2 linked regions of the Arabidopsis thaliana genome follow. The protein of the gene in region 2 interacts with the protein of the main gene of each other region in a pairwise test. Each region holds a gene or a part of one and is shown on either strand. Other genes may lie near its edges.

The links. Proteins that work in one complex are often made in the same cells at the same time.
Region 1: the proteins of IMPA-4 (region 2) and AT5G10710 interact in a two-hybrid assay, tested with the Arabidopsis thaliana proteins (one large-scale study listed by BioGRID).

The regions. Positions count from the first base shown.
Region 1 is NC_003076.8:3,377,401-3,383,437, reverse strand, and holds AT5G10710 (centromere protein O), read right to left. Parts: upstream 4,483-6,037; 5' UTR 4,224-4,482; intron 3,854-4,223; 5' UTR 3,820-3,853; coding exon 3,808-3,819; intron 3,712-3,807; coding exon 3,663-3,711; intron 3,563-3,662; coding exon 3,514-3,562; intron 3,430-3,513; coding exon 3,359-3,429; intron 3,231-3,358; coding exon 3,172-3,230; intron 3,113-3,171; coding exon of another isoform or gene 3,096-3,112; intron 2,918-3,095; coding exon 2,819-2,917; intron 2,339-2,818; coding exon 2,281-2,338; intron 2,049-2,280; coding exon 1,912-2,048; intron 1,837-1,911; coding exon 1,780-1,836; intron 1,339-1,779; coding exon 1,241-1,338; coding exon of another isoform or gene 1,225-1,240; exon of another isoform or gene 1,112-1,224; coding exon 930-1,111; intron 858-929; coding exon 790-857; 3' UTR 572-789; downstream 1-571. Other genes in the region: AT5G10700 (Peptidyl-tRNA hydrolase II (PTH2) family protein), read left to right, coding at 4,571-4,945, 5,031-5,209, 5,337-5,385; AT5G10695 (methionyl-tRNA synthetase), read right to left, coding at 5,418-5,621.
Region 2 is NC_003070.9:2,992,444-2,998,745, reverse strand, and holds IMPA-4 (importin alpha), read right to left. Parts: upstream 4,416-6,302; 5' UTR 4,241-4,415; coding exon 4,010-4,240; intron 3,600-4,009; coding exon 3,503-3,599; intron 3,402-3,502; coding exon 3,310-3,401; intron 3,210-3,309; coding exon 3,078-3,209; intron 2,854-3,077; coding exon 2,668-2,853; intron 2,520-2,667; coding exon 2,356-2,519; intron 2,109-2,355; coding exon 2,030-2,108; intron 1,946-2,029; coding exon 1,817-1,945; intron 1,545-1,816; coding exon 1,417-1,544; intron 1,292-1,416; coding exon 913-1,291; 3' UTR 908-912; exon of another isoform or gene 827-907; 3' UTR 538-826; downstream 1-537. Other genes in the region: AT1G09280 (rhodanese-like domain protein), read left to right, coding at 1-537; AT1G09260 (Chaperone DnaJ-domain superfamily protein), read right to left, coding at 4,926-5,342. UniProt on the Arabidopsis thaliana protein: Binds to conventional NLS motifs and mediates nuclear protein import across the nuclear envelope. Acts as a cellular receptor for the nuclear import of the virD2 protein of Agrobacterium and is essential for Agrobacterium-mediated root transformation.

The DNA.
Region 1 (6,037 bases), on a different chromosome or scaffold from region 2:
ATTGAGTTGATTTTTGTTTGTGTCACTTATTCGATGTAGATATATTGAGTATTACTACTAATTTTTTTTGAGAAAAAACTCATTGAAAAATACAAAAAGTAATTTGCCAAGTACAAACCCATTTGAATTCTTTCATACAGTAAAAATAATTGAAACAATGAACAAATTTTTCATTTATCAAGAACTTTCTATGTTAAGTTCCGATATGTTTAAGGAGCATAATCTCTTAAATTGTGATATGACAAGTGATGGGGGAAGGAACAGCAACAAAAATAAGTAGTGACTCTTAAAGTTTTTGCATGGATGGATTTGTGAAAAGATAATTCAAAGTGGGTAACACAACTCCGGGATTCCTTACCATCACCGTAATTTCATATTTAGTAACATACTTTTCGTTTTTAATTACTTCAACTAGGATCTTTAATATGAAAAATTGCTAAATGGTGGACCAAGAAAACAAATGTATATCTCTTCTCATTGTAGATAAGTTTAGTTGATTTACAGCCACTTTTGACTTTCAAGTGCGTAAATTCATGAAGGATATGATCGAACCACAGTATGCCATAGAGAACAAAACTTCATACATCTATCTGTTTCTGTTTCGAGCAGTTAGTAATGGGCTAATCGATGAAGCAGCACAATTTAACCGGAATAGAATAGCAGAACAAATCCATTCTGTAAAAGGTATTCTTCATAGCACTATTTTAACAGTTTGGAACAAGGATCAAAATCAAACATCATACAACGAAGCAACGAGACAAGTAGAAAGTTTGCACACAGCTTCAACTTTTAGCTTGGACTAGTCTGAAATAATTGCCGAATTTCATTCGGCATGTTCGGCATAATCTCTGCGTATGCTGCAATGAACAAAAGAATAAATAAACCGTAGAAACATAACTTAAACAGATCGTTATTTAAACTAGGAATACCTTCAGGTAGTGATTGGATCCGGAAAGCATCCTCGGCAAATGGTAAACGCACAGGGATTGCTGGACTTCCAGGGCTTGTACACTGTTTCTTCGACAGATGATGCATTGGCCATACTAGAATTCTCACTTTTGTCGGAAGTTCACACAGAAGATCTCCATATCTAAGGCTCACCACGAACTTGCTATAATCCAAAACATATCTGGTTTTTTAAAAGGTTATAAAAACAAAATTTTAAGTGGCAACATGGCCACATCAATATCTAGTGTAGCAGCAGTTAAGAGGAAGTATATGGATCTATGAAATTGCTAACCAGTCACAATCATCCATAGAAAATTCAATCATGTGGTAAGGAAGACTGTGATAAATCTCACTGATCTGATGTCCAAAGAGCTCTTTGATAAGCCGGACCTATAATGAAATTCAGGAGAAGCATCCTGGTTAACTTGTGAAATTTAAGAGGTTCCTAACACTTTAGACTTTTGGTGCATATTTCACCGACAGTGGTGAATAACAACACACCCGGTATAGTCACACCAGATTATTTGGCCCCGTTTTTCATTATAAAATAAATACATCTAAAAATCATTTCATATCCTAATCTGACAAGGTTGATGATACATTAGTGCTGAGATTCTCTTACTCCAAGTTAACTGGTCACATGATTTTAGTACCATTTTCATTGCTATCTAGAGAGCATATTGATGTATTTTTACTGAGAAACAAATTGAACAAGAAGCCAGCAGGTTAAAAACTTAAGAAGTCATGACCGAAAACAACAATTTAAAAGGCCAATATGACAAGCACAATCTAAGTTTGAACATCTACTCATGATCTAGATTTTTGACAAACCTGTTCCTTTCTGTCCACATATGCTTGCAGGAGATCCCCAACATTATCGATGAATTTCTGGCATCGAAAAATGTTAAAACCAAAAACATATAAGAGACAAGGAAGTAAGAGGATAAACTGAAGATCAGGTACCTTAGCATTCGAAAAAAGAAGATCATTTTCCAAGTCACTTAGCGGCAAAAAGAAAGGAATTGTGTGCTCAAGCACAATCATCTTCTCCAAAAACGACTTGCTCTCAAGCACACAGTGGTAAACCTCGTAAGTTTCTCCTATATAAAACGGATTTAATTATCATATACAGGGAGATGAAAAGGTTAGGAAAAGTCCCAATGTCTTCATATACATAGAAATATGGAGACAAAACAGCTAACTCTCTTTCACTGACACGCCAAAAGGTAAGAAACCTTTGAAGAAAAAATCATTATGATAACTGCTAATAATTTTTGGTAAAGAAAAAACACTTGGAAATTGTGACAAAATGCCAGTTATAGTTCAAAATACCTGCAGTAGATGTTTCAAACTGTATTCCAATTCTCGATCCATCTAGGCAACATATCACCTGTTTGATAAAACACCAAATATATAAGCAAAAACGACCTGGTATCGATTCAAAGTGAGAGGTCATTCTAAACTTAAGATTAGCCAGGTGTCAGTCAAAACTTTAAAATCAGGAAAGTTTGTAGCAACTACAAAATTTGGGGGAAGACACAACATTACAACAATCAACATTCTTCAACAAAGATATACAAGTATACAACCAAGATTGGTCTGATTGGATCTATCTTTTAGGCAAACATTGCATCCGGCCAAGATGAATGAACAAAACGATAGGTTTCCTTTGGACTATCCAGAAATTTCTACAGCCATATAGTATATCTTTTGTGACAGAAGTAGTCTTCCTTGCGGGTATCTTGAAAGAATCATGGTAAATTCTGTGCTATATAGACTTAGATAAGGCTTACACCAACAGACCTTGGGTACAAACAAAATCAATTTCTCTACAGAAGAAATTTGGAAGAATGTAAGACCTCAGGAGTACCTTATTTCCCACTCTGTAAGTAATTCGTTCTTCAGGATGACAAACTAGTGAAAAACCTGCATTACCGTTATCTGCCTTTCTGTCAGCTTCCATATGCACCTACACAGTTCATGGTCAAGTTCAGGAAAAATTCAATAAAGCCAACAGAAGAAAAGAAAAAGATGGCATAAAAGATTTCATAGCACAAAGAACATATAACTCTTTTTATCAGAACGACATAATCAAATCTAGATCTGCCCTTATTAAAGTGTCTACTAAGTCTTCTTCAACTAGATACCAAGGCTTGGAACACCTCTTTTAAGTACACAACAATGTTGACAATAAAAGGAAGCACACAATGATGGATGCCATACCCGTTCCCTTAATGTGGCCAACAAACCATCATTCCACTCTTCCCCATCTAAGAAGACTTCTGCAGAGGATAGGAGCAAATACAGCATTTGATTAAAATAGATACACGGATGAGCAAATACTTATGAAGCAAAAAAAAAGTCAGTTAGATAATTCGTCCAATTCTGCAATTCAGCTATCCATACCCACCCTGACTTTGGGATCTCCGTGCAGCTTCAAATTCTTTGTTTAAGCGATCTAACATTGTCTTATCAGAATCCCTAAAATGAATGATCACCAAATACAAACTTAGCAAACATAAAGATCGAGAAGTGAACTATATAGTTCAAAAGCATATTTCCTACCTAGTAAGACGGTCTGACAATTCTCGATGCCTCTTGAGAAGGTTTGACACTAGGAAAGGAGCATAAAGATTGACTAATTATTACCAGAAAGCTTTAAACCAAAAAAAGAAAGAAAAGGATCTGAAGCACAAGAAAAGCTGTTTACTCACATCTTGCTCGTGTTGTATCCAGTCGGATATCTTGGTCCATTGAAACAATCTATTTGCAACGAAAGCAAATGTTGTGGAATCTGCCTTTTTCAAGGTAACAATTGGAAAAAGAAAATAAAAAACCTGGAAAGGGTGTGTAATTTACCATTTCTCCCATATTTTGCTTATCAAGAGGTCTTTTGACCAAGCTCCTACCAAAAAGCAGAGAAGTTGATAATCAATCTCTACACCAAAATTTTCAATGTTCATACATCACATCTAAATCAGCTAGTATTTCCAAGTAATTCTATAATTCAAACAAATTGCAACACTGAAAAAACGAGTGAGAAGCAAAACCCTAAAGCGACCAAATCAACAAGAGTTATACTCAGCGAAATCACGATTTCTGCTCAGTATTAACACACTGGAACGATACAAAACAGAAACAAGCCTGATTTAGAAACCCTATCATGCCTATCAGCAGAGCTTGTTTTCAGAGGATTACAGCTAAAATTTCGTGCAGCAGCCTCAAACATATAACAAAGAAAATTAACTCTATCAGAAGAAGAAAAGAATGATTACTCAACGACACCGGAGAGTAGAGAAGATAACAGATCAGACAGGCGACGAGAGACGGTTTAAGCAGCGCCGGATAGTGTACGGACGTCGGAATGCTTGATTTCGTTCGGAAAGATCATAAAATCTCAACCGCGAAAGGAGAAAAGAGTAATCAGGAAAATAAGAATCAATTTATTTGGTTTGGATTTCGAGCGAATGAAATAGTTTGGTTATGCCGTTTAAGTGATAAACCAGAGCGAATTTAGATTTGATTTTAATTGAGGAGACATCAGAAAATAACTGGGTCTACTAAAAGCCCATTAAGAAAAATCTTATCCAATAGCAAAAGTCCATGTGCGTCTTCCTTTCATATGGCGACCGCCGTCCTCTCCGCAGCGTTTCGATTCCCGATAGTTACCCGCCGACTCTCTGCTCCGGCGCCGCGAATTAGGTTTTATCATTCTACGATCCGATTTGCTCATTTCCGAAGATTCACAACGGCTTCTCCTTCAATGAGCCAGCAGACTGGCGAAATCGATGCCGTCGTCGATGCTTCGTCGGCGGAGAAACCCGACGACGTCGTGGTGCAATACGTTGTGCTTCGACGAGATCTAATCGATTCGTGGCCACTTGGGAGCGTTGTAACACAAGGATGTCATGCGTCAGTGGCAGCGATCTGGTCGTTCAAAGACGATCCGGTCACGCTTCAGTACTGTGATCCGCAGCACATTGATTCTATGCATAAGGTTAGTCAACATGACCCTAATTTTAGAGTTCTCTGGCCGGAATCAATGGTGGATTAATTAAAACACTTTATTTTTTGGGGATTAGGTGACTCTGGAAGTTAAAGGGGAAACGCAGATGATGAATTTGTCAGAGAAGCTGAAATTAGGAGGAATCTCTCATAAGCTATGGATGGAGCAGCCGGAGAATATTCCGACGTGTATTGCTACAAAGCCTTATCCTAAATCCCAAGTCTCTTCTTTCTTCAAAAAGCTCAAGCTTTGCAAGTGATCATTCTTGTTCTCCAAAATCCCAATTTCTTAAAATTCTCATTTTCATAATCATGATTCATACATATACAGAGAAATCATAAAAGAGAAGACATGTTCTTTTCTTTTTCTTACAAACGTTTAGAAACACGATACACAAAGCAAGTCAGAGATTTGGATATATGTACATATAGAAATGATCTCGTATGAGGTGGGAGTTTTGTTTTCAGCCATGGACGATGAGTCGTTTGCCGCAAGTGGAACAGAGATGACGACGTTTGGATTTATTAGAGAGAGGAACGAAGCAGAATCTCCACTGGCTATTTACGTCAACCACTTGAACCGCTCCTCCGCAGTACGGACACGCTCCAGGAGCTGCGTACCTTCCGATCACCCTCTCGTCCTGATCACACACGAACACCAAACACATCCTTCTTCTTCTTCTCTTCTAGACAATGAAAACAAATGGAACCGTTCTTAGTTTTTTGTTTCCGCGTTAAAAAGGGTTGTAGTTTTGATGATATTTATAAGGATGAGATTGAGACTCCATGGAATTTAGGATATTTCATATTTTGTTTCCGCGTCAAAAAAGTTGCAGTGTCGAAAATTAGTTCTGGAGAGATATAGCTTAATCTAGAAGCAATTTTGGATTAGGGGAACGAAAAGTCAAAACTCACGTCAACGTTGAATATAAGTATATTGGGCTTTAATGTTCAAAGCTCAAGGCCCAAATTTGTTAAATCTCCACACTGTGTAACATTTGTTCGACCCGCCAAGGTGAAGAATAACTTGACTGATTGTTGTTGCTGTGATTTCAGATTCTCTCCAACGTTATCTATTTCGATT
Region 2 (6,302 bases):
CCTCCATCCGGAGTATGCAATAAGAAGTTTGCGTGGTTGGTGTCATCAGATTTTGATAAACCGAGTGAAACAGGCTGGACAGTGGCCCAATGCCAGTTCGATCCATTGCAGTATCAGACTCAAACTGAAGGGTTTGATAAATCGTTGACATACTTGAAGACGGCATTTGAAGAGAAAGGGCCTTTTGATGGCATTCTCGGATTCTCTCAAGGTGCAGCAATGGCTGCGGCTGTATGTGGGAAACAGGAGCAGCTCGTAGGTGAAATAGACTTCAGATTCTGCGTGTTGTGCTCGGGTTTCACACCGTGGCCATTGTTGGAGATGAAGGAGAAACGATCGATTAAATGCCCTTCACTTCACATATTCGGAAGTCAGCCTGGAAAAGACAGACAAATTGTGACTCAAGCCAGCTCAGACCTGGCGGGGTTGTTTGAAGATGGTTGCGCCACCATTGTTGAGCACGATTTTGGCCACATCATTCCTACAAAGTCTCCTTATATTGATGAGATTAAAGCTTTCCTTTACCAATTCATTTGAGGACTTTATTAACAAGACAAGAAGACTCTTTTGCAATCAAATATTTCTTGTACTTGTACTCTTGCCAAGTAAAAGTTATTAAACTATAACGACGACAAAGATTAAAGTGACAAATACAAAGTGTACCATATCCTAAACCAGAAACCACACTACACATAATTCATAGCAGAGTTTAAGATACAGAATCAGAGAATGATTCAGACAAATAAGGACAACATCAACAACAAAAAGAAAAAAAAACAGAAAAATAAGCCTTTTTGCACCAGAACTCAAAAAGTCGAACTTGAACCTGGCAATTGTCAATAACAGTTGCAAAAGCTGAATCTCATGTTTCCCAAACCAAAGGATTTCAATTTGTACTACTGTATACCTTTTTCAGGCAAATTTGAATCCACCAACGGGAGCAGCGGGATTGTTCCCAAAATTGAAAGCCTGTTGTGAATTGTCATTCCCGCCGTCCTGCAGAATCTGTTCTTCCTCTTCTTCAGCCCAATATCTCTCCAATATCTTAACGGCCTTCTCATATATCTCGTTGTTATCATGGGATTGAAGGTTTTCGACTTTGTCCAACCCATCAGATTCTTCTATTATTTGAGCATAGAGATTCACCCCACTGTTTAATCCCATTTCCTTGTCAGCCTCACCAACCTTGAGAATGTTTTCAAGACCCTCGAGGCACACTGTCACGATCCTTGGATCAGGGCAGATTAGAAGATCACAAAGTGGTTTGATGCAGCCTTGGGTCACCAAATATCTGCATGCAAAACTGTGTTATGGCATTTTTCGATTTCGAGATAGATAATGGTATAAGACTAAGAAGGAACACTATGAAGTGAAGTTAGTTGTTTGCAAATGCGCTTCAGAATAGAGATGACATACTGAATCTGCTCATGTGACCCTCCTGATGTGGCATTGGAAATAGCCCAAGCAGCTTCCTTCTTTATATCGAACTCCGCGTTTTGGAGCAAGTGCACAAGAGGGAGGATTATTCCAGCGCCAACCACAGCCTATTGTTTCAAATATATAAACTGATTAAAAAATTGCTTTTAGCCTCTGAAACTTTAATTAATCTCAATATTTTCAGTAGCAAATAGGGTATAATTAGGTTTCTAGGCAGAGAAGTCATTGGAAAATATGAAAGTACTAAAATTAGCTCGCTCTACTAAAAAGTTAAGAAAAGAGTAACTTCTTCACTTTTCTTCCAGAATCAGAAATGAATATCTTCCATGAACAGCCGTCTTCTTGACATATTAGAGATAGCAACAAAAAAACCGCATACCTCTATCTGAAGTTTATTCCCAGCAGTAATATTCGAGATAGTCCAACAAGCTTCTTTTTTTATACTTTTCTTGTGATTTTGCGTCAGCAAATTATAAAGGTGTGGTAGTACGCCACTCTCAATTATAAACTGACAAGCAAAGACACAGTCATAGTCAAAATCTCAAAACAAATACCCAAAACAACATAAATAGTCGTTCGTCATAAATCATACCTGTGTCTGAGAGTCATCACCAGTTACGATGTTCCCAACAGTTCGAAGAGCAGGAATGAGAACCGTAGGTGATTGATGACTTGAAGAAAGATATATTAATTAGTATAGATGCACCAAGGAAAAAAAAAATAAACAAAAGGAACAAGAATATGAGATAGTAAGAACATCAACATTCAGTTGCCAGAAGATACTCAAAAAGCATCACAAATTTGAAGATACCAACACCTTTATTGAGATAGACAAACTTTTATAGAGAGACTAAATATGATGAGAAATAAACAAAAATAATGTCTAGTCAATTATTGGTCAGGAAAAAAAGAACTAACCCCAAAAGCTCCACAAGTCGTGGACAGACACCTGCCTCAATCACAGCCTGAATCTTATCATTGGGGCCATCTGAAAGGTAGGAGAGAGCCCAGCAAGCATCAGTGAGAACCTCTTCATCATTCAGATAGATAAGCTGCCGAAGAATTGGCAACGCAGGCTTCACCTGAAACATATGAATAACCAACACTAGGCTTGAGTAAAGTAAGGAACACAACGAAACAAATATAATAATAACAATAAATAAATAAACTAGAACCATCAATCATAAGTTGTCCAGAAAAATCAAAGAGAAGCCATTCCTGTAGTCATACCTGTTCAAATGGTGTTGGTGGTTTACCACGACAAAAGTTGGACAAGGTCCATGTAGCATTTCTTAGCATGGACAACTTAGAATTTTCATTTAACTGAGCCAGCAATGGCTCAAGGGCCCCATAGTTGAGAACAAGATTCCTGCAGTTTGGAGAGTCCCCAGCAACATTTCCCAAGGCCCACACCGCCTACAATGATATCATGTAAGGGTTTGTACGAAGCCATAAAAAGTTATAGCACCTATGACTACGGAAAAGCAGTTGGCTGACTATATCACGAAAAACCACTAAGGATCAAAACAAACAACAAACAAACCAAATACGACCACGGAACTTAGAGGCATGTATCCAGGTGGACCAGGTCACATATACAAAATGGAAGCACGCAGTTATCTAGCTAGTTAGTGGCAAACCTGCTCTCGAACGTCATCACTAGCAGATGTAAGAAGCTTAACGAAGATAGGAACCGCCCCCTGTTCGATTACAACCCGAGTATGATCTGATGTTCCTGACGCAACATTGGTCAAAGCCCATGCAGCCTCAAACTGCAAACAAACTTTTCATTAAGCCACCAAACTATTCTTGAGTCTTCAAGGTGCAATTAATAAAGAACAAATCTAAAAATGAAAGAAGTACAAGACATACCTGCAATTGAGGATGGTCATGCCTTCCAAGAAACTCCACAAATCGAGGGATAACCCCAGCTTTGATCACTTCATCAATTGGAGGACTACGCTCTGTTTATCAAACCGTGTTACAAGCAACCATCAGAAGTCTATTACACACATACAACCCCAGAACAGAAAATTGCTTCTGAAAGGAACAAATGTATACCTACCTATAGATAACAACTTTCTAAATTGGGTAGTCGCTTCTAGCTGAGCTTGAGGATCATCAGAATAAACACCTTGTACCATCATTGGGATACCTTCTAACTGTCAAAAGCACATGAACGTAATCAAACAGTTGTTTCCACAGAAACGAAAACCTCTCCTTGGCTAGAAATGTAACACATCCAATCCATTGACAAGATCATCGGATCAGAAGATAGAAATTCCGATATCTAACTAAAGCACACTATACATTGCGATCAGCATACATGGTCATCCAGGATCCGCTATCAATCCCAAATATCCATAAACAAATTCCCAAAAACAAAAAACTAAACTTTGATGGTCAATTATGAGATTGGGAGCTGAGATCTAGAATTGAGGTAGGAAACAGAATCAAAGCCTCACTTTTTTCAACAATCAAACAAAGATCCATCACTAAATAATCAAATCATGTGATCCAAATCACAAAATCACGCACAATTGTATCGAAATTCAGATCAAAGGGAACTTACTCGTTTCTCAACGGCGGCAGCGGTCTGGGGACCATCAAGGCCAGCTCCGAGAGGCAGCTGCTGCTGAAGCATCATTCCTTCACGACGCTTCTTGAGAAGACTATCCTCACGCTTGTTTTTCCTAATCTCGACGAGATTGTCCTCTCTCCTCCGCCTGGCCTCATCGGCATCGACGCCTGTCTTGTATATCTTCTTCCTTAGCTCCGCGCGTGTGCTCGGCCTCAGCGACATCGTTTGTTAAAATCTCTTTCTCTCTCTCGTTCCCTGAAGGCAAACCACTTCGTCTGGATCTTCTTCCTTCTCTCTCGCTCTTTGGCAAAATTGAAATTGGAGAAATTGGGATCGTGGAGGACGAGTCGTCTGGTGCTTTCGGGTTCGGATCCGGGTCGGAGTTTTATTGGTTGTTGGATCCTTCCTCCTGACAGAGAAGTATTGCCACGCTGGCGCAAAATTTTTGTTTTTTCAGTTAATAATAATTTCGGATTTTGTTGGATCCTTCCTTCTTTTCGAATCTTTTCTCCCAAGAATCAGAGACTTTTTTCGCAACATATTATATCATTATATGTAATTATCTTGTATTAAAATAAAATAAATATAATCACGTTATTCCAACGAAAAGCAAACTCTACTAGAATCGTAACTTTTCTTATCAAATCATAATTATTATGGCAGCAAAACTGTAAATTTTGCATTTAAATAAATTCAAAAAAAGTTTGTAAAAATATCCATTAGCACTTTCAAACTGTCACAAGTTTACTTGGAATTAATACCTAGATAAAATAAAATAAAATCATAAAATTAACCTAAAAAAAGAAGAAGAACAAATAGGTTTTGTATTCCAATTCCCAAGAAAGACATGAAACCCTTGCCTCACTGTTTGATGTGGTTCATGATCTTCTGGAGACATGAATCATCTTCACTTAAACCTTTTTTTGATATTGTAATCTTTTCGTTTTTCAGGATCGGACAAGATCTTCCACGCATAATTAATAATCTCGAAAGCTGATTTGGCGGCAATAGATTTATTTGTGTCGGGGTAGAGCTTAACCAAGATGTCTCTGTACTTTCTTTGAATCATCTGATGGCTACAGAACGGATTTGAGATTCTCAAGATATCGTAGTGTGTGAAACTGGCTTTTTGGCTAGTCAAGTTGATTTGATAGGCGAGGAGAATCTGTGAGATCTCATGGTGGTTTGAAGATGTGTTTGGGTGACCAAACGTTAAGTCATTCACGATTTCAATGGCTCCTTTTAGATTACCTCTTTGATAATGTGCTTCCGCTAGTTTTAGCTGGTTTTTAAAGAATTTTGGAGCTTTCATTGAATCGTTCATTCTTTGTTTTTATTGCTGAGAATTAATGGTGAGCATGAGAGATTCAGTGATGAATTTATAAGAGAAACAAAAACATCTATGAAAAATAGGGTTTTGAGATTTGGATAACACCGAATTTTTATGGAAAATGATATTTGGGTATATCCATATTTAAGAGACAAAGAAAAATAATTTTTATTTTTATAAATCCTTTATATTGTAAAACATAAGTCACTGTACCAATAAAAATGTTAAATAAATATTTACAAAACAACAAAAAAGAATCTTCTCAATAAATAAATAAAAGCACGATTTCTCTATAAATACATTTTTGTCCTAAGTAAATTAAATCGAGAAATTACTTAAAAATACAAACTAGCCATATTTTCCACTTTGTTGTTATCGGCGGTTTCTACTCAGGCAAATATAACCGTTTCTCGTCTTTTATTTAATGAAAAGAAAAACTATCAAATTTTTAAATTTTGTGCGTAGAAAAGTTGGAGAGTACGATTGATCTAACTGTTCAGGAATGTGAGAGCAAATAAGAAAGTCAAAGATTTGGTTAGTTCTAAATTTGATTTATCAAGCTTACTCTCAATAAATTTGATTTCGTGACTATGTCATTTTAATATTCTCGTTTGATTTGTATAATAGCATAAAAACATTTACTAAAATGTTGCACTCATTGTAAAATTACAAAAAACAAAATTGAAGAAATTACATTTTATTTATTTAAAAAATTGTCATTTCTTTCACAGTAATAAAGATATGATCCTTTGTTCTGGAATGTAGGAACATGACCCCTTTCCATATCTCCACTTATATAGCTGTAGTTGTTTAGTTTGCTTAATGAAAACACCATAGTTGTTTAATTTGGTTCATTGTAGAAACGTAACAGATCCAAGTAACCAAAAAAGACGATTTATAAAGGCAGATTGAATTTTTCTCAAAAAAGTTGTCTTGTTTTTCATTGCTCTAGAT